7 linked regions of the Macaca fascicularis genome follow. The protein of the gene in region 6 interacts with the protein of the main gene of each other region in a pairwise test. Links are inferred from orthologs where the notes say so. Each region holds a gene or a part of one and is shown on either strand. Other genes may lie near its edges.

Evidence for each region.
Region 1: the proteins of CREB3 (region 6) and DNAJC30 interact in a two-hybrid assay, tested with the Homo sapiens proteins (2 studies listed by BioGRID and IntAct). The two-hybrid records come from large-scale screens. The link is inferred for Macaca fascicularis from reciprocal best matches to the Homo sapiens genes CREB3 and DNAJC30.
Region 2: the proteins of CREB3 (region 6) and TMEM203 interact in a two-hybrid assay, tested with the Homo sapiens proteins (2 studies listed by BioGRID and IntAct). The two-hybrid records come from large-scale screens. The link is inferred for Macaca fascicularis from reciprocal best matches to the Homo sapiens genes CREB3 and TMEM203.
Region 3: the proteins of CREB3 (region 6) and FA2H interact in a two-hybrid assay, tested with the Homo sapiens proteins (2 studies listed by BioGRID and IntAct). The two-hybrid records come from large-scale screens. The link is inferred for Macaca fascicularis from reciprocal best matches to the Homo sapiens genes CREB3 and FA2H.
Region 4: the proteins of CREB3 (region 6) and FAM3A interact in a two-hybrid assay, tested with the Homo sapiens proteins (2 studies listed by BioGRID and IntAct). The two-hybrid records come from large-scale screens. The link is inferred for Macaca fascicularis from reciprocal best matches to the Homo sapiens genes CREB3 and FAM3A.
Region 5: the proteins of CREB3 (region 6) and SYNGR1 interact in binary tests that used the Homo sapiens proteins (3 or more experiments, as listed by UniProt). The two-hybrid records come from large-scale screens. The link is inferred for Macaca fascicularis from reciprocal best matches to the Homo sapiens genes CREB3 and SYNGR1.
Region 7: the proteins of CREB3 (region 6) and FXYD3 interact in a two-hybrid assay, tested with the Homo sapiens proteins (2 studies listed by BioGRID and IntAct). The two-hybrid records come from large-scale screens. The link is inferred for Macaca fascicularis from reciprocal best matches to the Homo sapiens genes CREB3 and FXYD3.

What each region holds. Positions count from the first base shown.
Region 1 is NC_088377.1:52,553,295-52,557,250, reverse strand, and holds the start of DNAJC30 (dnaJ homolog subfamily C member 30, mitochondrial), read left to right. Parts: upstream 1-1,156; 5' UTR 1,157-1,164; coding exon 1,165-1,845; 3' UTR 1,846-3,956. Other genes in the region: BUD23 (18S rRNA (guanine-N(7))-methyltransferase), read right to left, coding at 688-818. UniProt on the Homo sapiens protein: Mitochondrial protein enriched in neurons that acts as a regulator of mitochondrial respiration. Associates with the ATP synthase complex and facilitates ATP synthesis.
Region 2 is NC_088389.1:2,111,205-2,114,674, reverse strand, and holds TMEM203 (transmembrane protein 203), read right to left. Parts: upstream 2,060-3,470; 5' UTR 1,826-2,059; coding exon 1,415-1,825; 3' UTR 501-1,414; downstream 1-500. Other genes in the region: NDOR1 (NADPH-dependent diflavin oxidoreductase 1), read left to right, coding at 2,180-2,314, 2,637-2,714. UniProt on the Homo sapiens protein: Involved in the regulation of cellular calcium homeotasis. Required for spermatogenesis. Acts as a regulator of STING-mediated inflammatory signaling in macrophages.
Region 3 is NC_088394.1:70,536,543-70,540,042, forward strand, and holds part of FA2H (fatty acid 2-hydroxylase), read right to left. Parts: intron 3,222-3,500; coding exon 3,079-3,221; intron 2,160-3,078; coding exon 2,053-2,159; intron 1-2,052. UniProt on the Homo sapiens protein: Catalyzes the hydroxylation of free fatty acids at the C-2 position to produce 2-hydroxy fatty acids, which are building blocks of sphingolipids and glycosphingolipids common in neural tissue and epidermis.
Region 4 is NC_088395.1:160,512,498-160,516,486, reverse strand, and holds the start of FAM3A (protein FAM3A), read left to right. Parts: upstream 1-1,189; 5' UTR 1,190-1,515; exon of another isoform or gene 1,516-1,611; 5' UTR 1,612-1,653; coding exon 1,654-1,666; intron 1,667-3,989. UniProt on the Homo sapiens protein: May act as a defensin against invading fungal microorganisms.
Region 5 is NC_088384.1:12,305,232-12,309,428, forward strand, and holds the start of SYNGR1 (synaptogyrin-1), read right to left. Parts: upstream 2,801-4,197; 5' UTR 2,767-2,800; coding exon 2,668-2,766; intron 1-2,667. UniProt on the Homo sapiens protein: May play a role in regulated exocytosis. Modulates the localization of synaptophysin/SYP into synaptic-like microvesicles and may therefore play a role in synaptic-like microvesicle formation and/or maturation.
Region 6 is NC_088389.1:63,665,254-63,669,419, forward strand, and holds the start of CREB3 (cyclic AMP-responsive element-binding protein 3), read right to left. Parts: upstream 2,801-4,166; 5' UTR 2,601-2,800; coding exon 2,472-2,600; intron 2,379-2,471; coding exon 2,228-2,378; intron 2,157-2,227; coding exon 2,089-2,156; intron 1,975-2,088; coding exon 1,885-1,974; intron 251-1,884; coding exon 144-250; intron 54-143; coding exon 1-53. UniProt on the Homo sapiens protein: Endoplasmic reticulum (ER)-bound sequence-specific transcription factor that directly binds DNA and activates transcription. Plays a role in the unfolded protein response (UPR), promoting cell survival versus ER stress-induced apoptotic cell death.
Region 7 is NC_088393.1:42,357,637-42,361,649, reverse strand, and holds the start of FXYD3 (FXYD domain-containing ion transport regulator 3), read right to left. Parts: upstream 2,801-4,013; 5' UTR 2,786-2,800; coding exon 2,713-2,785; intron 982-2,712; coding exon 898-981; intron 787-897; coding exon 733-786; intron 1-732. UniProt on the Homo sapiens protein: Associates with and regulates the activity of the sodium/potassium-transporting ATPase (NKA) which transports Na(+) out of the cell and K(+) into the cell.

The sequences.
Region 1 (3,956 bases), on a different chromosome or scaffold from region 6:
GGCTCACGCCTGCAATCCCAACAGTTCAGGAGACAAAGGCGGGAGGATCACTTGAGCCCTGGGATTGGACCACGTTGGGCAACACGGCGAGACCCCGTCGCTACAAAAAATTTAAAAAACTACGCCACGCGCGGTGGCGCGCGCCTGTGGTCCCAGCTACTGGAGAGGCCGAGGGGAGCCACCACGCCCGCCTAATTTTTTTATTTCTGGGGAGAGACGGGGGCTCGCGACGTTGCCCAGGCTGGTCTCGAACTCTCAAGCTCAAGCGATCCTCCCACCTCAGCCTCCCAAAGCGCTGGGACTGCTGAGATTACAGGCGTGAGCCATCCCCACCTGGCCACAACTCTGTAGTTCGTACAAACCACCCTCTATGAAATTCAGACAATAACACACCAACGGCTGTCGCGAACATTTATTGGCAAACAAGGCGCCACGATAAGCATCCTACGGATACCAATTACTTCCTTCCCCCGACCAAGACTGACCCCTCGCCCGTACCCACCGCCCAGCGCCTCTTTTACCACATGCTTACGACAAGTTGTCACACTCGACTTTAAAAACCACCCACGGAAAAGCAAGCGCGATCACCCCTACCTCAACGCTGAGATACCGAGGCCCAGAGAGATCGGCAAAGTTGAGTTACCAGAGACAGAAAAGGCACCCACCCGGGTCCTTCCCTCCCCGCACCCCCAAATTCCACGAGCTTTCTGCGTAACGCCAGCAACCGGGACAACTTGCCGCTTCCCGACCCCCGGACACCGCGCAGTACTCGGGCTCCCCTCACTTGCGAACGTATTTCCGGGCTTCTTTCTCATCATAAAACTGCAAAAAAAAAGAAAAAGAAATGGCAGGTAGTGGAGGAATTCAGACGCGGCGGCCGTAGAAGTGGGAAGAGGGGTGTCCGCGGGCCCCGGAACTTACCAGCTCCGGTGGTCCACCGTGCTCCGGACGCCGGCCGCGAGACGCCATACTCACGCCTCAGCAGCACGCCTGCGAGTGGCGTTTCCCGGAACCCGGTTTTTATGTCATCAGCCCGGCGACCGCTTGTAATACGCATGCTCCACCCCTCCTCGCCCGCCCCCCTTACGTGATTGGCTACAGGGCGACCAACCGGCGCCTCTCATTGGCCAGTTTCTCTTGCACCGCCCGCCTAATCAATTCAAGATGGCAGCCATGCGCAGGGGATGGTGGCCGCGGCTGTTACCGTGGAGGTTGCTGCAAGCCCGTGGCTTTCCACTAAATTCTACACCCGGCCTGGGCCTGGGAGCGAGGACTTATTCTCAGGGCGACTGCTCGTACTCGCGCACGGCGCTCTATGATCTGCTCGGCGTCCCCTCCACAGCCACGCAGGCCCAAATCAAGGCGGCTTACTACCGTCAGTGCTTTCTCTACCACCCGGACCGCAACTCTGGGAGCGCGGAGGCTGCCGAGCGCTTCACGCGCGTCTCCCAGGCCTACGTGGTGCTGGGCAGTGCCACCCTCCGTCGTAAGTATGATCGCGGCCTCCTCAGCGACGAGGACCTGCGCGGACCCGGCGTCCGGCCCTCCAGGACGCCCGCACCCGACCCCGGCTCGCCGCGTCCCCCGCCGCCCACTTCTCAGACCTACTACGGTTCTCGGGCCGCCCCCGGCGCCAACCGCACGATGTTCAACTTTGACGCCTTCTACCAGGCCCACTACGGGGAACAACTGGAGCGGGAACGGCGCCTGAGGGCCCGGCGAGAGGCCCTTCGCAAAAGGCAGGAGAATGCGTCCCTGAAAGGCCTCCGCTGGGAGGAGACCCGAGACGTGGCTGCCATTTTCCTCGTCTTCTCAATCTTCATCATCATCGGCTTTTATATTTAATCGGAGAGAGGAGGGAAGGGGAGTGTCCCCAGCCAACCCCCCAAAAACGGCCTTTTTTCCTGCCTCTGAACCCTTGGCCATTGATAGTCTAACCTCTGCTGAGATCCGAAGGAACTGTACTCCCCCTGCCCTCCCTGACCCGCCCAGCTTAGCCGATGACCTGCACATCCCTTCACTATGGTCCAGAAAAGGAGGTCTCTCGACGTTTAAGAAAAAGACCCCACGCTGAAGAGTCCCGAAAGCCCAGGAGTTAAGGGGTTCCTGGAGTCTCTAGGGTACTTCTTCCAGAGTTTGTCTTCCTGCTTCCAGATGTAGTCAACTTCTGGAACACTCGCTGTAGCTTTATTGTAAAGCTCCGAGCAAGATTTATCTGCTCCTGCCCCGCGTGTGTACGGTGGGCCTCCTCTGTAACCTTGAAATATGCAATGTGACCAATTGTTGGCTGCCAAAAGAAAAGGTCCGGGGTTATACGAAACTTGTCTTTCTGTGAGTTCCCCAAGCCGCAGGTGAGACCTGGTACAGGTTAAGAATGGGATCAGTGGAGAGCCTGCCATTCCTTCAGCTAAGGTCAGGCCCCTGGGGCGCTCCCCCTTCTGTTGATAGCATGTGGGAGTGAGAAAACAAAGTCATTGAGCATAAGGAATGAGTGTTTCTGTGCCCGTATTTAAGGTGTGACCTTGGAGAAGTTACTCTGTGGGCATGACAGCAGAGGAGAAAATCATTTGGCATCTTAAGGTCTGTCATGCTTTATTATCCATAGTTTTTGGGGTTTGTTTTGTTTTGTTTTGTTTTGTTTCTGAGGTGGAGTCTTGCGCTCTGTTGCCTAGGCTAGAGTGAAGTGGTGCGATCTTAGCTCACTGCAACCTCCACCTCCCAGGTTCAAGTGATTGTCCTGCCTCAGCCTCCTGACTGTGTAGCTGGGATTACAGGCTCCCGCCACCACACCTGGTTAGTTTTTTGTTATTTTTAGTAGATACAGGTTTCACCATCTTGGCCAGACTGGTCTCGAACTGCTGACCTCAGGCTGTCTACCCGCCCAGCCTCCCAGAGTGCTGGGATTGCAGGCATGAGCCACCGCGCCTGGCCTATTAGCCATGGTTCTAATCCATAGGGATTACAGCATGATGCTAGCAGGGCCAGGTTCATCCTTGGGACAGTGTGGCTGTCACCTGGCTCTCCCTTTACCAGCCAGCCCCATTGCGCACTGTGCAGCCCCTCCCCTCCCAGAAACAGAGTGACAAACTCCGCGCTTGAGTCCGTGTTCCTGTTTAACCTGCAATGCTTTTATCACAGGCCCTTTCTTAATTTTTTAGACGAGGCTGCTTGAGGCTGCAGTAAACTTTGGGGCTTTGGGAGTACACAGGACTACTGAGGGACAGGGGCTTGGTGTTTAAGGTGGAGACTTGGTTCTTAACGCAGAGCTGGCTAAAGGTGTGTTGTTTTTTCCGCTCTGTTTCTAATTCATGTTAAGTAGTTGGTCATCACTTTGGTCAGAGCTGCTGCTGTAGCTCTCTTAACTGTGAGTCACTGGATGTCAGCAGTGAGTTGGCTGTGAGATTGTAGGTGCTCAAGTGTTTATGCACCGGACTGAGTGTAAATCTGTAAAAGGGGAAAATCCTCGCAAGAGGTCTATGAGAAGGATGAGGGCCCAAGTCTAGGGTCTAAACAAAGCTAGGAGTGGTTTGGTATATTACTGAGTGCAATAATTGCATGCAATTCCTGCACTCAATATATTGTGTAAAATCCTCAGGTAGAATGGGATAAACCCACAGCTGGTCCTACTTAGCCTCTTGAAAACTATTCCATCGTGCCAATCTCTATCCGGAAAAGGAAAAAAAAAAAAAAAAAAAGGAAAACCATTCAATTATCTCTTGCCTTGGAGGTTGGGGTATGCTCCTAGTCAGGGCTTTGCAGCGACCATATGATGCAATAGTGAAGATCTGGGGCCTGGCACAACACTTTGGGAGGCTGAGGCGGGTGGATCGCTTGACCTCAGGAGTTGGAGACCAGCCTGGGCAGCACAGCAAAACCCCACCTCTACAAAAATCACGAAAATTAGCCGGGTGTGGCAAGTGCCTGTAGTCCCAGGTGCTCAGGAGGCTAAAGTGGGA
Region 2 (3,470 bases), about 62 Mb from region 6:
TCGATCTCCTGACCTCGTGATCCGCCCTCCTCAGCCTCCCAAAGTGCTGGGATTACAGGCGTGAGCCACCGCACCCGGCCTACTTTTAATTATTTAGGGGTGTAAAAACCATCCTCAGCTCAAGGGTCACACAAAAACAGGCCTTAGGACATTGTTTGCTGATCCCCGCGCTACAGAGTGCCAAGGCCCACACAATACCACACACTGGCAAGAAGTCACGGGCTCTGGGGTCACAAACTATTCAACGGGTCTTCAACGTGAGCCTAGACTGTTGTCTTCACACAGGGTGGGGCGGGTGCCTGAGTTACCGGCCTCCTAGAGCAGGAAGGAGGGATTCTCCAGAACGAGTGATTCCCACCACCACCACCATCCACTAAGCTCTAGCCACAGGTTTCAACCCATCTGAAACTGCAGCTCTGTAACCAGTTACACCATGCAGCAGAGAGTATCTCAATATTCATCACATTTAACCTTTGAGGGGTACAGGCAACCACTATTCATTTCAGGAAAACATTCTCTTACTTTATTTGCATCTCAGCAAAGGTTCTCATTTGGCACCTGACTGGCATCAAACCAAAGTTCATAGGCCAACAAAGCTGGGCCACTCACAAGTTTCCCATTTGTAGGTCTCAGTGCCTATGAGTATCCGACACCTGTTCCTCTCTTCAGTCTCTCAGGGAGGCTTAAATCTGTCTCAGGTGTGCTAAGAGTGCCAGCCACAAGGTGGTGAAAAGGTCCACGGAACTGCAGTCTTCGCTGGGATAGGAAACCAAGCAGTGCCTGGACAGCAGAGCTCTTTTCGTGGGCAAGAGATAACCAGACAGGACCCTAATCGTGCTCTTATTCAACATTCTTCTCTCTCTGCCTAGACTGGAATAAAAAGCCAATCTCTCGTGGCACAGGGGAGATACAAGCTGGTTTACATTTGATCTAACAAAGGCATCTACCGAAGTCTGGTCTGGATGGACGGCACAGGGAGCTCTCAGGTCAGCGCTGCTGGTTGGAGGACATTCCTGAGTCCAGCTTTGCAGCCTCTGTGCAACAGTACTTTCCCAGGATCCACAGGAAATACTCAGAGTCCACCGGGACATTTTACTTATATTCAGCTTCCAAGTGTCAGAGGGGTTCAGGACTGCCTGGCCTGGGGGCCTCCTCAGGACCTCAATTCAGGATTATCTACTCAAAGCATTAAATAAAAAGAAATACATTTTCAGGATGAAGGCTGCTCTTTTAAACCCTGCTGAAGAAACCATTTCAGGCAGGATTGAAATAGGAAAACCGGGCACTCAGTTCGGCGCAAGCAGGAGTTGCCTTTAGGCTAGAGAGCCTCTCCTCCGGTGCGGCGCAAGTGGGGCCTCGGCTTGAGGTCAGCATTCTAGCCGTCCAGCGCTCCCTCTCCGGCACCTCGGTGAGGCTAGTTGACCCGACAGGCGCGGATCATGAGCAGCTGCAGGAGAATGAAGACCGGGGACGTAATGAGGCCGAACCAGAGCTCCCGAGTCTGCTCCGCCAGCTTCTGGCACAACAGCATCTCGAAGACGAACTTGAGACTCAGGACCGTGAGGACCCAGAAAAGGCGGAGCACCGCCAGCCGCTTCTCTCCATCCTGGAAGAGGCGCACGGACACGATGGTGGTGAAGTAGGTGCTGAGCCCGTCAGCGGCGAAGAAAGGCACGAACACGTTCCACCAGGAGAGGCCCGGGACCAGGCCATCCACACGCAGTGCCAGCAGCACAGAGAACACCAGCAGGGCCAGCAGGTGCACGAAGATCTCGAAGGTGGCGAAGCCTAGCCACTGCACCAGCTCCCGGAGCGAGAAGAGCATCGCGCCCGTTGAGCGCGGGCCGGGACCCGGCCGAGCGTGCCACCCGCGGGGCTGCGTCTCCTCTCCCCGTGGCCCTCGCCCGCGCCTGCCGCCGCTGCTGCGAGCGAGAGGCAGAGAGCGGCCCCGCCACCCCCAGCCCTCGGCCCTGGTGCGCCGGCAATGCCCTGGCCCCGACCCGGGACTCAACCCTGGCCGCCGGTGGACGCCCGCCTCGATCGGACGCCATGCCCCACCGGGCGCGTCCCTAGTGCGTCACTTCCGGTCGACGGCGGAAGGTGGAGCGGTCCCTGTATCCCGGCCGGCGGGATCTGCCTTCTAGTTCTTAGTCTCCGACCTGGAGCCGGGCGCATCCAGATGCCGAACCCGCAGTTTCTGGTGCTCTTTGGCAGCCAGACAGGCACGGCTCAGGATGTGTCGGAGAGACTGGGTCGCGAGGCCCGGCGCCGGCGGCTTGGCTGCCGGGTGCAGGCCCTGGACTCCTACCCGGTGGTGAGGGCTAGCTAGGGCCTCGGCGTGGGGGACAAACAGGCCTGGCGTGCCCGCTTCTCGGGGTCATCGACCCAAAAGGCGTCGCATTATCTCTGAGAGCGGGTCTTTCCCTTATGGCGGATTTAGGGAAAGGGGAGGCTTGGGAAGAGGAGTTCAGTTTAGCACCTGGAGGAGGTTGGAACCTGAAAGAGAAGACGGTCTGGCCGCTCACATAAATTCCTCTGCCCTGTCAGCCTGAGTGAAGGAGAAGGGGGTCGAGTTTTGGGAAGGACGCCCAGTCCTTACAGCCGGAGGTCTTACGTGTGTGTGTCTTTTTGTTGAGGTGAATCTGATTAACGAGCCCCTGGTGATATTTGTTTGTGCAACTACAGGCCAAGGAGACCCCCCTGACAACATGAAGGTAAGGCTGGCCTGATGTGGCTCCTCAGATCCCTGCCCTCGACCCTCACCCCGTTTTCATTGCCTGGAGTCTAGGTGCAGTAAATAGCTCTCCTCTATCTCATGCATCTTCAGAGGTGGATTTGAGAGGACGTCCCTGAGTGGAGCTGGGGGCTCCAGTTGCTCTCTCTAATAAACGCTTCATAGCCACCAAATAGCCTTATTATCCATTTTAACCTTTCTTATCTTTCCAGGGCTATCTATATGTGCATCTAGTCTGGATCTTCTGTGTATTTCTAGACTGTATGACTCTCAGGGAACGTTGCTGAATTCTCTGACCATCTTTTAGGCACATATTCCATTCTTGGCACAGTCTGGTGCTGGGGATCCAGCTGTGAACCCAGTGCCATAGTTCTGTCCTGGCAGAGTTCATACTGTAGCAGAAGCACCTAATGGGCAATGACAGTGCCAGCGAACACCTGCAGCTGGGGAAAGTAGCGTATGTCACAGGAGCACTGATAAGGGGCATCGAGCCTTATCTCACCCAGCCTTGGGGCCCAGGCAGAGGTTTCTGGAAGAAAAGAGTGTAAACTGAGTCACCGAAGAATGCGTGAGGGCTAGTCAGGCACCAAGAAAGAAGGAGCAGTCTGTGCAGAGGAAAAAGATTATTTGGCTTGTGTGAAAAGTGAAAAGCAGCTCAGGGTGGCCAAGCTGAGGAGTGCACTGGGGCAAGAGGGGAGGAGAAGAGAGGCAGGAAGCCAGGCCCAGTCCAAAGAGC
Region 3 (3,500 bases), on a different chromosome or scaffold from region 6:
GGCCAGGCTTGTTTCAAACTCCTGACCTCAGGTGATCCACCCGCCTAGGTCTCCCAAAGTGCTGAGATTATAGGCGTGAGCTACCGTGCCCGGCCTTAGCTCTCTTATTGGTAAGGAAAGGACTGGACACACAGGAGCACTCTGGCACAGACTCAGGTCCTGGCCTCTGTCGGGCCCTGCACACCACCCCACCAGAGGCCTGCCTGCCCCTCCTCTCCGGGATGCTGCTCGCTCTAACATGCTCTCAGAAGCTGCTCTGGAGCCATCCTGAGTATGCAGCACTGCCCCCTCTCCCCTGTCCTCCCGGCTTTTGAAAGCATTTTCACGTGCGCATCTAGGAATGTCAGCCTTGAACTGGTGTCTTCGTTCAGCTTCCACTGCTTCTTGGCACCCTGACTCTTCTGTATTGATTCCAGCGTGTCCTTTGTCTAGCAGCTGCACTGGGACCCCGCCGAGCCTCTCCTTGCCTTGCTTTGTGAGCTCTTATTTTCTCTGCCTGCGGCTTGTGCCTTGCATGACAAGCTGGGGGCTGAAGGAGGCACGTGGAGACATATCTCTCATGCCCCCGTCCCTGGCGTCGTGGTCACAGGCTTACTAACCCTCTACACTGGACCTTTATAAGACAGGCACATTTTAGCTCTCTGCCGAGGCCGTGTGGCTGACAGAGCCGTCAAATCATCCTCCTTGCCTCACAGGAAAGTCCTCTCCTATAGGTCAAGCCTCTGCCCGCCCCCTCACCCCAGCATCACCCCTGTCTGCCCATCCGGCCGGAGCTGGTACTGAGTGGCATCTCTGGAGGAATCCGGCAGAGGGACCTGGGCCAAAGCTTCAGCGTCCCCTTCCCCCTCCGGCTGCCAGCCCTGGCGGCCCTGCCACTGTTTGTGATTGTTAGGGGAGTGTTGGGCAGACAGTGGGTGATTCAGCGAGCAGGACTTCTGAGCAACAAGCCCTGTGCTGTGCCTGAGCTATTCAGCGTGGGCAGAACAGGACAACCATGGCTCGAGAGATGCCCGCAGTAACCCTCGGTGACCAGGGGCAGCTCTGGGCTGGATCTGGGGGAACTTTCTGCAACTTGCTCAGCCTTGACTCAGGTGGATAAAAGAAGCTCCTGGTGCCATGACCGCGGCCCCTCTCATCTCAACCATTCAGGCACTTGACTTGCGGACTGCGGGGAAAAGAGGTGCCCCTGGCAGAGTGAGGGCAGCTCAGGAAGCTCATAGCCAGGACAGACAGACCACAGGGCAGGTGGCATGTACCTGGAGGCCCAAGGTAGGCAAGGTGCTTGCCAGGCTGGCTGTCCCAGTGGCCATACCTAAACCCACAGTCATCCTGAAAGACCCAGCTAGAAGCTGGGGTGCACCTGGTATCCACATCCTAGCCACATGACCTTCACCTACTCCCTTGATATATCTGAGGCTCCATTTCCTCAGTTCTAAAAAGGGATAATGACAGGACCCTTCTTATGGGGCTGCTGGGAGGGGTAAATGAGGCAGTCCTGGGAGAGCACATGGCCCTGCACATGGCAAGTGTCCCATAGAGGTTAGTGCGCTGTTACTCCCAGTCTGGGGGTCCGCTGCCTGAACCTTTGCCTTGGACACACTCTAGGACACTCTCAGATCTTTCTCTCCCAAGTTCTCTGCTAATCTGTGCTCGGTTCACAGGCCAGTCTGAGTCTAGCTCTCAGCTGTGTCACCTGACAAAGTGATTTCATTTAGTTTCTTAGCAAAGAATCCCAGATCATGCATTTTTTGGTGTGACACTCAATGAGAAGCACTCTTTGTCTCCCTCTTTTTTTTTTTTATTTCTATGCCACCTGATGATTCCATTTAGTTTTTGCTGATGTGTTTTTGGGTTTTGTATCCATTTGTGGGGGTAGATGGGAGTCTGACAAAATTCTTCTTTGGAAGACTATTTCTACAGAGAGGCTTCACCAAAAAATGTCTGTGATGTGGTTTGGGGTTCTATGCTCTCAGAAACTCTGGGCTAGGGAAAGCACTGAGGTCTCCTTCCTTTAGGATCCTCAGGGCAAGTCAGGAAAGAACCTGGCATTACCTGTTGTAAATGACGTGAAGAGTCGGACGTTCCCCTGGGCAAAGGTTCGGTAGTAGGACCAGCTGAGGTACAGCACCAGGGGCACCCAGATGATGGGGACACTGTACCTGTAGGAAGGCCGTCAGGGTGAGAGAGATACACATACAGGAGCTTGACAGGGTCCAGCTTTCTTTTTTTTTTTTTTTTTTGAGATGGAGTTTCACTCTTGTGGCCCAGGCTGGAGTGCAATGGCGTGATCTTGGCTCACTGCAACCTCTGCCTCCTGGGTTCAAGTGATTCTCCTGCCTCAGCCTCCCAAGTAGCCGGGATTACAGGAATGTGCCACCACACCCAGCTAATTTTGTATTTTTAGTAGAGATGGGGTTTCACCATGTTGTCAGGCTGGTCTCGAACTCCAGACCTCAGGTGATCCACCCGCCTTGGCCTCCCAAAGTGATGGGATTACAGGCGTGAGACACTGTGCCTGGCAGGGTCCAGCTTTCTTAGAGAAATATAACTCAACTGGAGGGGGGACAAGATGACAGCAAAGCATATGCAGAATGCCTATGGAGACCTGGGGTCAAAGGGACACTGGTACAGGGAGTGGGGAAGAGAAAAGAGGAGAGAGGCTGTGAGTCCATCTGCCTCCTGTCTCTGAGATGAATTATTGGCAGAAAAGAACTGTGTCCCCAGCGCTACTGACTCTATGCAAATACACAGACGCTGACCTCTTGTGGCAGAGGAGCTAATTGCAGGCAAAATTGTTTCCATGTGCACTAGGGGCAAGAAACTCCTCTTAAGAGTCTGGAATAGACCAGGAGTGACATTCAACGTAGTTTCTGGCTACATGTTGGGTTGTGACCCACCCAGTGGGCAAAACGATGCATAGGGATGAATTATTCCCATCGTGTGTTCCTCCCTCCCTGAGAGCTTTACAGCATAGACCTGGGCTCTAGGGAGGGACCCAATTGCCCCTTCCCTTTCCATATCTGATTGGCACAATCAGAAGAGAAGGGAAGCCTGCCACAGGCTCAGGGAAGAGCTCACCAGACAGTCTTAGAGAGGCCCTCAATGAGGTCTGAGTGGAAGAGGCGGATGGGCCTGGTCACCGGCTGGTGAACCCACTCATCGTACTTCTCTCCCAAGTGGCCCACCTGCCACAGGAGAGGCTTTTGCCAGTCCACCAGGTCCTGCAAGAGATGAAGCCAAGTGGACATTTGATATTCACGTCTTCCCATATTCCTTCTCTAATTTCCTCGTTACAGCATCCCAATCCCCTGCTCCTACCTCCGCTCATGTGATCTGTGTGGGACCACCCACCCTCCTGCTTCAGTGATCAAGAACTGACCAAGTTGCTCATCCCAGCCCCCAGCCACAGCAATAGGATCCAGTAAAGGTTTACGACCTAAGCTGGTGTGATGAGGCATCAGACACTCCCTCTTTCTGTTGGGCGTGCTAAATCGGCAGGG
Region 4 (3,989 bases), on a different chromosome or scaffold from region 6:
CTGCCCTCCAGACGGATCAGCTGCCAGGGTGGCCCCGGCCATGTCAGCGCAGTAGGCGGTCAGGGCGCAGTTGGGGCAGCCGGCAGGGCAGAAGGGACGGGAGCTTGACCCGGGTTCTGATGGGCAGAGGGAGCCCGGGCAGGGGTGGGGGCAGCGTGCGGGCAGGCGAGGAGGGGAGAGAGCCAGGCAGTCAGGCAGAATTGAAGTGACTGGAGAAAAGCCGAAGGGCCGTGTCTGCCTGAGGCTGGAGACCACCCCAGGTCCACACAGTCCGCTGGGTGCCGGCACCGCTTGGAGCCGCAGGGAAAGCCAAGCACCGCTCTTTCTAGAGCCTTCTTTTTTTCCTATTGTTAGGGAATTCACGACGTCACACTTGTTTTCAAGTGAAAAGAGTTGTGTAGGCCACGAAAATCACGTGACTTGAAAGCTGACCCTGAGAGGCCTCAAAATAAATTCTGGTTTGCTGTGAAAGCCTCGGGTTATAGCGCTAAACTCCCCCCTCCACTGCCCCCCGAAAGTTTTATTCTCCTCTGCTTTTAGGGTGGGGTGTGGCGTAAACAACAGCTTGAGCAGCTCTGAGGGGGAGGGTGTTAGAGATCAGGCAGGTGGAGAAGGCAAGAGTTTTCAAGGATGTCGAAATAGTTTGAGGCGCCCCGTCCCATTATAAAAGTGATACGAGAGACAGCAAGAACGTGCTTCTGGACAGAAAACAGACTCTAAGGAAAGGCAGCCAGAGGTTCACGCTGGATCCTGCGGTCTTCCCTATCTGCGCCTCTGTGCCTCTCTTGCCCTTACAAGGCGCATGGATCAACTTTGGAACAGGTTCTAATTCCGCCCCAGATCCATCTGCGTCTTCCCACGCCTCAGAAATCTGACCTCAGGGCGCAAGCGCAGCCCCAGCCCTCCAAGCCTAGGTAGGCAGGGTTCTCCCATCCGAGAAAGGGCCGAGGGGAGGCTTCCGGGGCGGGACCGACGCGGCCCCTCCCACTCCGCGGGCGGTGGGTTCAGCCTGAACGTACTGCGGAGGCGGGGCCGACGAGGGATCCAGGGACGGGGCAGGTTCAGGCCCCTCCCATCAGGCGGCCAGGGCGAGCGGTAGAGGCGGGTCTGGAGGCGGGGCCTGCGTGGAGCCAGACGGCGCGGCTGCTGCCGGGGGCGGGGCCGACGGGCTGTGGCCCCGCCCTTGGCCGCCATTGCCGGGCCTGCCTGGCCGCCCTGCGCAGCGACCTTGCCTCCTCTTGCCCGGCGGAGCGGGTCAGCGGGCCTGACAGGGAGCCTTCCTGACCGAGCCCACGTCTCCCCACGGCCAGACAAGTCTCCGGCCCGGCCCGCGTCGCCAGTCCCCAGGCTTGGAGGAACGGCCCGAGCCCAGGAGAACCACATCTACGTCCCAGCCCCGGAGGCTCCTGTGGGCAAGATCGTGAGCCAACGGGTTCCTGAGGCCCCTCCTGGCCAGGCAGGGTTTCTCCGCGCGTTTCCGAGGAGCCCTGCCTGGCCGGGCGGCTGGACAAACAGGTCGTAGACCGATCGCGCCCGCCCCCAGCAGGGGTCCTGCACAGGCTTGTCCCTGACCCCCACCCAAACCCGTTCTTCCGCTTTCCCCCCAAACAGTGCACTTGCCGGCGGTCCCAACCCAGCAGGAGGAGAGTGGACATGAGGTTGGCAGGTGGGTGGCTTCCGCAGCGAACGGGAGGGAGTTGAAAAGGGCACCTGGATGGAGGCCCAGCGTCCCGACATCTGTGTCTGGAGAGGCGCGAGTGGACCACTGGGTTTGGTTTTGGAAATTTCGGAGGACTCTGTACACTCATTCCTTGACCTTAAGCAAATCCTTTCACCTCTGAGGACATCAGCTCCCCGAGCTATGACAGGAGGATTAGTATAGTCAGTATCTCCCAACGCAGGTAGTAGACCAGCTGCTTTTTGGAAAATGAGTGGTGAGAGAGAGGAGGTGGGGAGTCCAGGTGGAGAGGCGTGATCTTAGAGGGGAAGTGACAAAAGTGGCTGTGGGCTTCGACATGAACCCGATGACAGCCCTACTGTCACCTGGACAACTAAGATGAAGATCCTTGGGGAGGGATAGGTTGGGGCGGGGTGGAGAGTGGAAAGAACTCAGGAATTGAACTTCAGACTTGCTAAGGTGGTAACTTTGTGGACATATCCAAGTGGAGCTGGCCAGTGAGGAACCAGCTGGCAGGGAGTGGTTTCAAGAGAGGCCACAGCTGGAACTAGAAAATAGGAAGTCATTGACACATGGTGGTTAATTAAAGAGCTGGGAGTAGATGACATCATCTAAAAAGACACTACAGGCTGGGCGCGGTGACTCACACCTGTAATCCCAGCAGTTTGGGACGCCGAGGCGGGCAGATCACTTGAAGTCAGGAGTTTGAGACCAGCCTGGCCAACATGGTGAATCCCCATCTCTACTTAAAAAATACAAAAAAATTAGCAGGGCGTGGTGGTGGGTGCTTGTAATCCCAGCTACCGGGGAGGCTGAGGTTGCAGTGAGCCGAGATTGTGCCACTGCACACTCCAGCCTGGGCGACAGAGCAAGACTCCGTCTCAAAAAAATAAAAAGACAGCTGGGCGCAGTGGCTTACGCCTGTTATCTCAACACTTTGGGAGGCCAAAGCGGGTGGATCACCTGAGGTTAAGAGTTCAAGACCGGCCGGGCGCGGTGGCTCAAGCCTGTAATCTCAGCACTTTGGGAGGCCGAGACGGGCGGATCACGAGGTCAGGAGATCGAGACCATCCTGGCTAACACGGTGAAACCCCGTCTCTACTAAAAAATACAAAAAACTAGCCGGGCGAGGTGGCGGGCGCCTGTAGTCCCAGCTACTTGGGAGGCTGAGGCAGGAGAATGGCGTAAACCCGGGAGGCGGAGCTTGCAGTGAGCTGAGATCCGGCCACTGCACTCCAGCCCGGGCGACAGAGCGAGACTCCGTCTCAAAAAAAAAAAAAAAAAAAAAAAGTTCAAGACCAGCCAACATGGTGAAACCCCATCTCTACTAAAAATACAAAAATTAGGCCGGGCGCGGTGGCTCAAGCCTGTAATCCCAGCACTTTGGGAGGCCGAGACGGGCGGATCACGAGGTCAGGAGATCGAGACCATCCTGCCTAACACGATGAAACCCCGTCTCTACTAAAAAATACAAAAAAAAACTAGTCGGGCGAGGTGGCGGGCGCCTGTAGTCCCAGCTACTCGGGAGGCTGAGGCAGGAGAATGGCGTAAACCTGGGAGGCGGAGCTTGCAGTGAGCTGAGATCCAGCCACTGCACTCCAGCCTGGGCGACAGAGCGAGACTCCGTCTCAAAAAAAAAAAATACAAAAATTAGCCGGGCGTGTTGGCGGGTGCCTGTAATCCCAGCTGCTCGGGAGGCTGAGGCAGGAGAATCGCTTGAACCCAGGAGGCGAAGGTTGCAGTGAGCCGAGATTGTGCCATTGCATTCCAGCCTGGGGGACAAGAGCAAGACTCCATCTCAAAAAATTTAAAAAAAAAAAAGACACTACAGGTAGGGACCAGAAGGCAGCCTGAGATGGAAGCCTGGGAAAGTCCAGCTTTTAAGGGGAGGGTAGAGGAGACGATCTAACTAAGGAGAATGAGGAGTGTCCAGAGAGATCGGGTCGGGAGAGTGTGCTGTCCTGAAAGCCAGCAGAGAAGTGAGTGCTTCTGTGAGGAGGACATGGGCAGCCCACTGAGAGGTCAAGGAAGATGGGGGCTGACAGGTGACCAGGGGTGGTGACACCACAAAGGTCATCAGCGGCCTTGGCAACAAGCTGATTTGGTGGGGTGGTGGAAGCCAGGCCAGACTGGAGTAGGGTGGGAGGGAGTAGGAGGTGAGATGATGGAATGAGTATAGATGACTTTTGAGGGGGTTGACAGGGAAAAGAAAGGTTAGGGGAAAGAGGATGGGGATATGGTTTTGAAGAAGAGTGTTTGCTTTCTTAACATTGGAGATGTTGAAAATACAGGAGAAAGAGCGAGCTAGAGA
Region 5 (4,197 bases), on a different chromosome or scaffold from region 6:
TTTGTCTGGATTGAGGGCCTCTTGGAATGCTAAAGGCAGGAAGTTCCAGCACACCAGGATAAACGGGTCACCCTAGTCCTGGAGGTCAGTCTTCACTTGCTCTGCCCTGTGTTGTGAGGCCCAAGAGCAGGCACCGGCTGCATCCCCCGCAGCTCCTGATGTGTTTAAATGGCTCAGCACACCACACCGTCTCTAAAAGACCAGAAGGAAACAGCCCCATATTCACTGCAGCCCTCCCTAAGTGGTGGTATCACATGATTACCACCCCCCACCAAACTTTTTCTGTTGTGGGAAAATACACGTAACATACAATTTGCCATCTTCACCATTTCAGTGGTGTTAAGTACATTCCTACCGTGCAACCATCACACGTGAATTTTATACTTTCCAATAATTGGCAGGTGTTACTTTGATCAGGAAAAAAAGCTACTTTTAAAGGTGTCAATCAGCCTATCTCTTGGTTCGACAAAAGTAGTGAGCGCCTTGTATCCACGTGTGTGAGCAGGGTTGGGAGGTTGTGGCGTTGTTTGAGCATTGGTTGGCACACGTGACCTTTGTGTCCTTTCCAATCCTGACACTCCAGGATTCTGGACTCTTCCCTGTCCCAGGGGGAGAACTATGCTTTGGAGACAGGAAGACCTAGGCTCAAATGCTCGTCTGCCACTTACATGCTTAGTGACCTTGGGCCAGGCACTTGGCCTTGCTGAGCCTCAGCTTCCTCTAGTGTTGGGGAACCAGCTGGGTGGCTATGTGTGGTCTTGCACCCCACGGATGCTCAGAGGGGCTGATCCTTCCTCCTGCTTTCCACGTCCTCGCCCCTGGATGTGCACACGTGTAAATCCTCATCCCACCAGGCCCAATCTGACATTACCTTCACCATGAAATTTGATTCCACAGCAGGGAGACCCCTCTCCTGGCTCTTGTGGCCTCTGCCTAGGGGCACCTGGCTCACTTCCCAGTGTGACGGTGGCTTCCTGAGAACAAGGGCTGCTTCTGAGTCACGCTGCCTTCCCTCAGGGACCAGCAGATTCAATAAAGCTTTGCTAAATGAAGGTATCACAGGCAGAAATGACCCAAACAGACAGAATGTCCACGCCCCCTCACAAAGCCAGCGGCTTCGCCCTTCCAGGCCAGAGGCCCAGGGGCAGGCAGACTGAAGCAGTGAACACAGCCCACCCGCCTGATCCGGCAGGTGCCCCCCAGGGCTCCCACCTTTGCCAAGGGTCTGTCGGGGCATCTGGGGAGCAGGAGACTGGCACAGATGAATGAATTCAGAGCCACAAACACTCACAGATGTGCTGGGGTGCCAGGTTCTGTGCAGGTGCTGACATAAAGGCTAAAGGAATTAGGCTTTCCTGCCCTCAAAGAGCTCCCATCTGATGGCATTTGAGAAGAAAAGGCTTTAAATGGGGTCATCCTTGGCAGGCCAGGGATACATACCCAAGCCATCCTACCAACCAGACCCTGAAAACCAAGGAAACGAGGGAGCTTGAGCACCCTGAGGTCACAGTTGGCCTTGGGGTAGCCCCTGGGGTCCCTGACAGTGCCCCTGCCCAGCATCCCCAGTCCAAGCCCTTCTAGTCTGAGCCCATCAGGAATGGGCCCCAGGCCTGGAGAGGCCAGAACCTAGAGTGGGGGTTTCTGGGTTACAGCCAGCCAACCCCAGGGAGCCCCAGGAACCCCCTCTTCAGACCCCAGCAGGGCTTCTTTCCATGGGGTGACACTCAAGGCACCTGAACTCCTCCCTCTGTGCTCCCTGTCTCTGACCCATCCTCCCCTGACCACCTGACTGAACAAGAGTCCCACTCAGCCCTCCGCACTGAGGACCCTGCCCCTCAGCTGGGCTGGAGGCCACCCTGGCCTCTTCACTGTGGGAGCAGACCTTTCTCCCAGACACCCGCCATGGGCATCCAGGTGCATGCTGAGTGGGAGGGGTGTTACCGGTTCATGAAATGTCAGAGCCCAAGGGGGCCTCAAGAAGGCTCCTCCCACCTTATCTATAAATCGGGAAACTGAGGCATGAGAGAGGAGATGGCACTCCCCACCTTGGAATTGAAGTCCTCATTTCTCGAGAACATTTCCTGGGTGGCTCCCAAGGTCACGCAAGAAGGAGAGGCAGTTCCAGGGTGGAAAAGAGGCACCCAGCTCCCGACTCATCGCTCCACACGGGCCGGGCTAGGCAATACGAACCCGGTTCCCTACCCTCTCCTCCTCCAACGTCCATCGCAGGCGCGGCGTGCACCCCAGCGAGATGGTCCACGCCCTGATCCACCCTCTAAAAAGGCCACCTTAAACCCCGGCTCCGTCCCCGCGGTCCCCAGTCCGCCCTGGCGGCCGCGCACAATCCGAGCCTTTAGCTGCATAGCCGCCGCCTGGAGGTCACAGCAATCGGGGCGGGAAGGGGGGCGCACGGACCGGGGGCCCCAGGAAACCAGGGCTCCGGGAGCGGGAGCGGTGTCTCCCGCGAGCGCCAGGGCTCCCGCCCGCCCGGGGCCCAGGAAGGAGGAGCAGCGGCAGCGGGCCCCGCAGGCAGGACAGCTCCTCGCCAGCCGCCGTGCCGCCGCGCCGCCGCCGGGGGCCCGGTGGGGTCCGGGTCTGTCCGGGCGCGCCGCCCTTGCCCACACCCCCACCCCGGCCTGGCGGAGCCGCCGGCCAGTCCGTCCTTACCCAAGACACGACGCGCAGGATGGTGTGCGGCTGCCGGACCAGGGTATAGGGGTCGAAGGCGCCCCCGGCTTTGCCCGCTCCGTACGCACCCCCTTCCATCGTGGCTGCACCCGCGCGGTGCCCCCCGCTCGGCGCGCGCCGCCGGCCCGTGCGCGTGCGCGGCGCCCCCGCCCCCTCCCCTGAGCGCGCGGCCGGCGGCCCAGGGCTCCCGCGAGGGGGCGTCGTGCGCGGCGGGCGCAGCTCGCGGGGCGCGGGCGGGGGGCTGGGCGGGCGCGCGACCTCGGGCGCGGGGGCGCGCGTGCGGCGGCCCGGGGCGCAGGGCGCGCTCGCAGCCAGTGCGGTGACCTCTTTGCATGCAAAGTGTTGGGGGAGGGCGGTGCGTGTGCATCAAGTGCGGGCCGTGTCCCTGCTCCGTATCCCCGGTCCCCTGCCCCGGTCGCAGCCCCTCCGAGCCGTCGACTCTGCTGAAACCATCTTCATGCTTGATTTGTTTGGCTGTTTCCTGCCGCTTTGGCCCCAAACATAGTGAGAGGGCAGGAGCCGTGTTCGTCCTTCTTAGGGGGTGCTTGGTACACAGTAGGCGCCGCATGAGTATTTCTCAAATGAATGAATGAACCACGAGTGAATGACCCTCTTAGAGCCCTCCAGAGCAGCCCCCACCTCCCAGGACCACCTTTCCCCTGCCTCTTACGATGACGTCATCTGTGTCCCTGTGCCCGCGCACCCTCCCACCCCCAGCCTGGAGGGGCCTGGCACAGAGGCGGCAGCTGAGACTTCCTCTTCCCCATCCCCTCCTACCCCAGAACGTTGCCCCTTTCCTGAATCCATCAATTAATTACGCAATCGTTTGTTCATGGCCTCTTCCTCTGCTAGTCCGTGAGCTCCCGAGGCCCAGGTGTTGTCTAACTTATTCAGTGCCTTACCCAAGGGCCTGGCATACAGTAGGTGCTCAGTAAACAGAGCCTAGTCCCCATCAGCCCATCATAGCTTGGGCTAGACCTCCAGGTTTCACGGAAACAGAGGCTAGATGGAGGAGTGCTCCCTGCAGGGGAAGGGCCACCTTCCAGGGCTGGCTCTCCTGCTGCCCTGTAGCTCTGTGGCCTCTCTATGTCTTCAGTTACCTTCACTGGTTCCAGGAGCAGGCTGGATGAGGATATGGGTAGAGGCTTTTGCTTCTCTAGCATCCTGCCATTCTGTGATGACAGGACACAATATCTGTGTGGAGGAAATGTGTGCTGGGCCTGAGGGTGTTCCTTATAAACATTACATAGGCAATATCCATCTAAGACTCAGTTGATTGTTTAGTCTTTACCAGGCCTTGTTCTAAGGGCTTTACATACATTTCTGCATTTAATCCAGCACACTTATAAGGTGCTACTATGACTATATAAAACTTTTAGAAGAAAGCACAAGAGAAGCCCGGGCGCGGTGGCTCACGCCTGTAATCCCAGCACTTTGGGAGGCTCAGGTGGGCAGATCATGAAGTCAAGAGATCAAGACCATCCTGGCCAACATGGTGAAACCCCATCT
Region 6 (4,166 bases):
GAAGCTGTACTTTGTTCTGAAGCTCCATATTCTGGGCTGTGTATTTCAAGACCCTGGGGGAAATAACAAAGATATGGGGATATGGCCTGTGTCCTCCCTTCAAAAACCTAACACTTAAAACTGAGTCCCTCTCCCTTTCATACCTGCTCTCTAAACCCCCAACATACACCTTCTTTTTCCTGCGGCTCTCTTGAGCAGATCTTTTATTTCGAATCTTCCTCCGCACACGTTTCAGAATTTGTTCCTCCATCTGAAAGGAAACAGGGAAAGGGGTATCATTAGAGGGACTCTAGAACAAGAAGTTGAAAGGCAACTGAGATCCATCTCTTTCCAATACAGAAATCCCTTCTACAGCTTCCCTGACCAATAGGCATTCACATTCTTTCTGAATGCCTCCACGGAGCACGTGTTAACCCTAACAAGCCAGACCATTTTAAACTATTAAAAAAAAAAATTGGTCAGGCAATATTCAAGTGACATGGCTCATGCCTGTAATCCCAACACTTTGGGGAGCTAAGGCAGGAGGACCGCTTGAGCCCAGGAGTTTGAGACCAGCCTGAGCAACACAGTGAGACCTTGTCTCTACTAAAAATAAATTAGCCGGGTGTGGTGGCACATGCCTGTGGTCCCTGCTCCTCAGGAGGCTGAGGAAGGACAATCGCTTGAGCCTGAGAGGTCAAAGCTGTAGTGAGCCATGATCTCACCACTATTCTCCAACCTGGGCAGTAAAGCAAGAATCTGTCTTCAAACAAAAACTTCCTTATCCTGAACCAACAGCTGTCTCCTTATAATTTCTATACGTTGGACTTACCTAGTATCTCTGGGGCCAAATAGAATGAACCCTGTTAAGCTATTTTCAGGCATTTGACATTTCCTCAGAGAAAAAAAGTTCAAGAAAAAAACAGCTTAGACAAAAATTTTAACTCATCTTCTTAGGATAGACTGCATCTTCTTAGTATCTGTCAAAGATGTGCTCTAGCCAGTATAAAGGAAAGCAAGATAGTGACTTGTGGAGACAATAACTCTTGCTACAGTTTCCAAATCCCATTAACTTTCCTAGTAGCCACATCGCACTGCTGACTCATCTTGTACTTTGAAGGAATTAAAATTCTTTACTTTTGGAGGCCAAGGTGGGTAGATCACTTGAGCACAGGCGTTCAAGACCAGCCTGGCAACAAGGCAAAACCCCATCTCTACTAAAAACACCAAAAAAAAAATTTGCCGGGCAGGGTGGTGTGCACCTGTAGTCTCAGCTACTCAGGAGGCTGAGGTGGGAGAATCACCTAAGCCCAGAAATTCAAGGCTGCAGTGTGCCATGATCACATCACTGCACTCCAGCCTGTGCAACAGAACAAGACCTTGTCAAAAAAAAAAAAAAAAATTCCTGGAACCTTTCTATTAATGAGCACTGATTTCATCATAGTATCCCAGTACTCTGCTTGTGAAGTTGCCACTGATTGCTTAAAACTGGAAACTAAGGATTTTGCATTTATTCATGTACTGCTTAGTCCAATCGTGTTGAACTCTCTAAACAGTTCTACCATTCAGCAAGAGGTGGATTACTATGAAGCCAATGAAGTGTCAAGGCCCTTCACTTACACAGTCCTTTCCAAGGCCCAATACTAATGTTGCACTGATAATTTTGAGGGTTTTTTTTTGTTTGTTTTTTAACAGAACACCAAAATTTGTGTAAGCCCAACGAAAATGAGGATCTGCCTTGCATCTAGCATATTGGGTACCTGCCTCAACTTCCTATTAGCAATAAATCTGCTAAGTTTCTCACCTCAATCCTTTTTTAAAGTTATTGATATAAAGTTAACAGAATTGGCCTACTTGAGACTTTTAATCCCTTTTCAGCCTTTGCTCAACTAACGAGAGTCTTACCTTAGTGAGAGGAAGTGTCTCAGGCAGAATAAGCCCCTCCTTCTCCAATAGACTCTTCTCCTCATCTGTCAGTACCAGCCTAACAATATCCTAGGGTAACCAGAAAGTGGGCGGCAGTTGCATGGGGATGTCACAGAGGAATGGGGAATCCTGCCCCCACCTGAGGAATGTGAGAGTAATCTTCCTGAAAATCAAGTCAAGTACCTGCTCTGCCAGCTCCTCCATATGCTGTGGAGTCATCTGGGTCCCCTCTTTTCTACAGCTCTCACTCTCTGCAAAAGGGAACGTATGAATAGCCAGGCCCATGAACCCTGTCCTCCCCGCAAACTTATTTCAGACTCACCTAGATCCATAGAGACAGGTTCTCGTGGGAGGGAGTAGGTGTGGTCATGGTGGACAAGGCAGGGGTTGGAGTTGCTGAGAACGTTCAACGACGACGCTGGGGGACTCAGCAGGGAGCTCAGCAAATCATCTACCTCCCAGTCGCTCGGTACCTGCGCAGGGTTCCAGTGAACAGGCCTTGACCTATCACCATCCCCTGACCTCATGGACATCCCACGCTTTCCCCAGTCAGAACCCCAACGCACCTCAGAAAGCGGCAGCTCCCAGTCCAGTGGGGCCCTCACGGACTCATCGGGCGCCGTCCTCAAATCTCCACTTTCCTCTAGCAGGAAGCCCAGTAGGTCTTGGTCACCAGCGTCCAATTCCAGCTCCATTTGGGACAACTACGGAAAGGGTGGGCTACCGGGCCCCAACGTCCGAAGCCCAGACACGAGCCCCAGGCCAGCTGTAGGCCTCGGGCACCTATCCACTGTCCCTCTACGGCCGGGCTTCCCGGCCGGGGGCTTTCCGTAGCCCTCTCCGGACCCGCCTCCCAGGCTCAATTCTCCTCAGCCTCCAACGCAGCGAAAGTGACGCACCCCACCCCGTGGCACTGTGGGACTTGGAGTTCCCTCCAACTGAGAAGAGGCCTGGGTGCCGCGCCACGTCCCAGGGGCTATGCAAATGTAGGGGACGGCCCTGCTGCCGCCTCGCACCCCGAGGGCGGGGGTTCCAGGGCTCCGGCTCCGCCTTCTCCCCCAAGCTAGAAAAAGGAAGAGTTCTGGCCTGAAAGGGAACTCGGGCGTCGTCTTGGCGTTCTCTCCGGATTGCGCCGCACCCTCGCTTCCTGCCAGGGAGGGGCTGCCGGCCTTTGGCGGCCCCCGAGCATCGAGAACGCGGCCAGAGCAGCTTCCTGCCTGCCCCCCGCGACCATAGAGCGCTGCCCCAGGGCGCCGCCCGCGGGTGGGGGACGTTCCCAGGACGGAAGTGGCCGAGAGAGTGTCGAAGGGAGGGCGAGGCCGGAGCCCGAGGGCGACCCGAGAAGCGGCAGGGCAGCGGGCCGGCGGGCCGGCAGGCGGGGCGCAGAGCCGGGCAGCGCAGGTAGGCCAGACCGGGCCGGGCGGGGGCCTTAGGGTGGGGCCGCGGAGCCTGGCCCCGGGGGCGGGCGGGGCCCTGCCTCTCCTGCGTGTCCGGTTCGGGTTCTGTTAGTTGGAGAGGTCAGCGTCCAGCGCATCTCAACTTGGGCTCATCGTGAAGTAGGCCGTCTTAGGGGAGACAGGCCTCTCCTGGGGGCAGTCCTCTGCCTGGGATAGGCTTTGGGGAGCGTGAGGAGTCGGGTGGCAGCGGGGCGCAGGACGGGGACGGGCTTTGGTGTTAGCTGATAGCGGCCATGTGGGTAGGAAAGCTTTGGGTGAGTTGGGGATTAGGTGGGGTCCGTTTAGGAATCAAGGGTCGCTATAGGAGTTAAAAGCTGGGGTTAAAACTTAAGAGTTAGTAGTGTGAGTCAGGTCCGTTTTAGGTAGGTAAGGTTTAGATTAAGGTCATTATTTTGTTTGCTGGGATGGCCATCATACGTCATAATTTGAGTTCAGGGTCGGGTTAAGGGTCAACAACAGGAATCAGGTTAGAGCCTGTTTGAGGGATTAAAGAATGTTGACATGGTCGGTATTAAGGATAAACAGTGAAAGTGTGAGTTAGGAATCAAGTTACAAATGAACTTTAGGCTTAGGGGTCAACATTTAGGGTTAACATCAGGCGATTTGGTGCTAAAGGTAAAACTTAGATCAGTATCAGGGATCAGGGATTGGATATGAGTCTCTGCTGGGAAAGGGATGAATGTCCAAGCCGGTAGTGGGAATCAGGAAACAAATTAGAGGTGGGGTTAATGTTAGGAATTTGGGGCAACTTTAGGGGTTGTAATTGAGGCTAGCATAGTTGGCCTTGAGCAGATGAAATTTAAG
Region 7 (4,013 bases), on a different chromosome or scaffold from region 6:
AAAAAAAAGAAAAGAAAAGAAAAGAAAGAAAGAAAAAAGAGGAAAAGTGTTTGGAAGTTAAAGATGCAGTCGCACCGAGCTGAGCCTTCTACTTGAAGTTTTTGGAAAATTTACAAGAGAACTGGCTGGGCAGTTATCTTATTTCAGTGCTTTGAAGGTGTAATTTCATTGTATTCTAGCTTCCATTATTTATGTTTAATAGTCAATCAAGGCCAGTGCAGTGTGGCTCGTGCCTGTAATCCCAGCACTTTGGAAGGCTGAGGTGGGAGGATCAAACTCAGCCAGAAGTTTGAGATCAGCTTGGGCAATACAGTGAGACCTCGTCTCTGCAAAATATTTAAAAATGAGCTGGGCTTGGTGGTGTGTGCCTAGAGTTCTAGCTGTGTAAGGCTAAGGGAGTAGCATTGCTTGACCCCAGGAGTTCAAGGCTGTAGTGAACTGTGATTGCACCATTGTACTCCAGCATGAGTGACAGAGACTCCCTTTCAAAAAAAAAAAAGAAAGAAAGAGCGAGAGAATGGGGAAGATGGTGACTTTCCAGCTGTGCGAGCCAGCTCTTCTTGTGTATCCCTGGCAATCACTAGTTTGACTTTACTTACCCTCAAGGAGATGCTGTTCTAACATTTACCACCTTCCCTGGGGTGGTAGAAAAGCACAGGAGAGAGACAGAGGCTTGGCAGCCCCCCATCCAGGGGATCCAGAGGAAAAGGCAGTTGGGGGATGGGTACTCACCTACCAGGAACACAAGCAGGCCCAGGGTCACCTTCTGCATGTCAGAGCGCGGGCCTAGAGGGGTGGCAGGAGGTCCGGCCTTAGCAGAGCCACTGGGAGGCTGGCCCTGTGCCTATGGCTCCCCAACCCTCCTCCCCTGCTCCCCAGGCAGGGTGCGCAGTTCACCCAGGGCAAGAAGGCTGACATCTCGCTGGGCTGAGAGATAAGCTGCAGCTGCGCCGTGGAGTGGGGACTGGGTGAAACTCGGGCCTGACGCGGGAGGAGCCATAATAACTCACTGGACATGGACCAGGCTTTCTGTGAATCGCCCCGCAACCAAATGAGGGCACCACTGCCCGCTGTTGTCCTCATTGGACAGATGGGGAAACTGAGGCTCTGGGAGGCGAAACTAGGTGCCCTAGCCAGGAAGCAGGATTTAAGCCAGGCCTGGCTCCCCAGCAGCTGCTCCTAACTAAGGACTGTCAGGGCCTTGGGGTGTTTGGGGAAGCCAGGTGCTGGGAGCCAGGTGGCAGGAGGCCTGCTTCCCGGGGGTGTCTCCATAGACGGCTCAGAGCCTGCCTGGCCCTGCCAGGACATTGCAGACTTCAGGCTGCGGACTGAGCAGGTTCTTCAAGCTGCTCAGGGCGGGGTGTGTGGAGCAATTGACTTGAGGCTGGGACTGGGGGTAGAGGGGGACAAACTCAGCCTGGCTGCAGCCCTAGCTCCATCTCTGTTCCCCAGAACCTCCTGCCCCTCACCCCTCACCCATGCCCTTCCCGGTCCCAGCCCTGACCCTGCCTAGCCTGAGTCCCCAGCCCAGCCCCTGACCCTACCCTAGGCCCCGCAGAGCACTTTCTTTCCCAGGTAGACCTGCTCAGCATAAGGAACTTGTTTCTCTCTCCTTCCTGACCTGGCATCAGTCCTGCCCTCCCAGCCTGCAAGGCTGCACCAAGCCCGGGCCTCCAAGCATGCCCTCCCCTGCCCTGTTCCTGCCCAAATGCTGAGTGCATAGTTATCATAACTGTTTTTATTTTTTCTCTTTTTTTTGAGGCGGAGTTTCACTCTGTCGCCCAGGCTAGAGTGCAATGGCACAATCTCAGCTCACTGCAACTTCTGCCTCCTGGGTTCAAGCAATTCTTCTGCCTCAGCCTCCCGAGTAGCAGAGACTACAGACGTGTGCCACCATGCCTGGCTAATTTTTGTATTTTTGGTAGAGACAGGATTTCACCATGTTGGCCAGGTTGGTCTCGAACTCCTGACCTCAGGTGATCCACCCACCCGGGCCTCCCTAAGTGCTGGGATTACAGGTGTGAGCCACCGCACCTGGTCTAGTTATAATTTTGATAGCGAGAGCTGGTACTTCCTCCACCTTGCCCTGGGGTGCACACTGACCTTGCTGTGTTCTCACTCAACCCCCCAGCAATTTCATGGACAGCAAAAATGCTGAGAGAGGGTGGCGCCACAACCAACGGGTGGTCCCTGCAGGTTGGCACAGACTCCTCCCTCTGCCTACGCACCCCAGGGCCTGGGAATCCTCTCAGCTTCCCAGTTAATTCCACATGCTGAACTCACAATTTTAGTTTGAGCATCCATTTCTTTTCCTTTTTTTTTTTTTTTTTTTTTGTGGGAAGAAAGCCTGAGACTTTGGGGAGCATTACTGAGACCCAGGAAGTGTTTAAGATCCCCAAAAGTGTTGGGGGTCGGGGGACCTGGTGTGGGTGGGTGGGCAGGATGGCATGGTGGATAGGGGCACAGGTTGTAGGTAGACTGCCTGTGGTCTGAAGCTGTCACCCATAACCATATGAGTCCTGATAACAGCAGCAGATGTTTATTGAGTGTCTACCCCACGGGGCATTTCCTTAGCTTCCCACTTATTTGCTCAATCTCTGCAGCTTAATGTAGGGGGCACTATTATTAGCACACATTGCAGTTGTAATCCTGTAACCCCTGCAAATTCATCTTAAAGCCCTATGCTCTGTCGCCGTGGCTGTTGAGTCTCACCTCTTAAGCCTCTTTCCAGGGGCTCCTCCAAGCCACCTCTGGCCTGCAAGGCCCCACTATTCCCCCTTCCCATGATGTCATCCAGCCAAGACTAACAGATGGTATTTGCCTCGCCCCAGCCCCAGCCCCAGCTTCTGCAAAACAATGTCCAGCCCCACGTTTCTGGAGGCTGCAGGGAGCCGGGAGCTGGGTCTGCCCTCACATTCCTGATTCAGGCTATTGCTGAAGAGGCCCTGGACTGCTCCCAGACCAATGTGGTTGGTGGGCAGGTTAGAGAGGAAGGCAGCCCTGCAGCTGATGCTCTGTCTACCTGCCCTGATCCTTCCTGGCCACGAGGTCCCAAGGCCGGCCTGAGGACTGTTTGCCCCACCTGCCCTCTGCTATCCCCTCTATTCCTCCATACTGTAGGAGAAATGTCTCATGTTCAGGGGCGGGCAGAAAGATCCTGCCCGCTCTGTGCTCCTGAAATCTCCCAAGCAACTCCGTATTTACAACTTCCCCAACAGCTCTGTCCTCTTTTCCTGGAGGTTTCCAGAATCCACATCCCTCAGTGCCTGGACACCCCGAGTGCATCTAGCACTCCTCATCCACACAGATGTCCCCAGTCCATCTACGCACACCTGGTCCACTTAGATACCCCTACCTACCCAGGCACCCCCCTCTCTTCCACCCAGATATCCCCAACCCAGATACCCCTAATCCATGCAGACATCAGTCTTCCCAGACACCCCAACCACACTTACCAGTCCTGCCCTCACCCCAGCCAGCTCAACCAGTCCCTGAGAGGAGAATGGTGGGGAAAGGGACATTAGGGGAAGGGACTTTCTCCTATCTCCTGGCTCCAGAAAAACATTTCCAAAGATTTTAGGCTCTTTAACAGCAGAGCTTGTGTGTGGCAGGGTCAGTGGGCAGGTAGATACTCCCTCGTTTAGGGGCAGAGCCAAGGAGGGCTTGGAGGAAGGGGGCCCCAGCTGCTCACCTGTGTGGTTCACCAGGCTGAGCAGAGGTTCCGGGAGAAATCGGGGCTGCAAGGCGGAGTCCTGCCTTTATCCGAAGCTGCCACGCCCTGAGCAAACCTGGGCAGGTAGAAAACAAGTCAGATGCCCTAAGGCCCAGGGGCTCCGTTCCTGCTCTTAAAGAGACAGCTTCACCCCCTCCCCAGCCATCCCAGCCATGGGCAGCACGTTGCTCCCGGGGGTCACCAGGGCCACAGCAGCCTCAGGTGAGACAGAGAATTGGATGGGCTGGAGCTCGGTCCCTGGAATTAAGGGAGGAGCGCTCTCCAATCTTCTGTGCCCAGG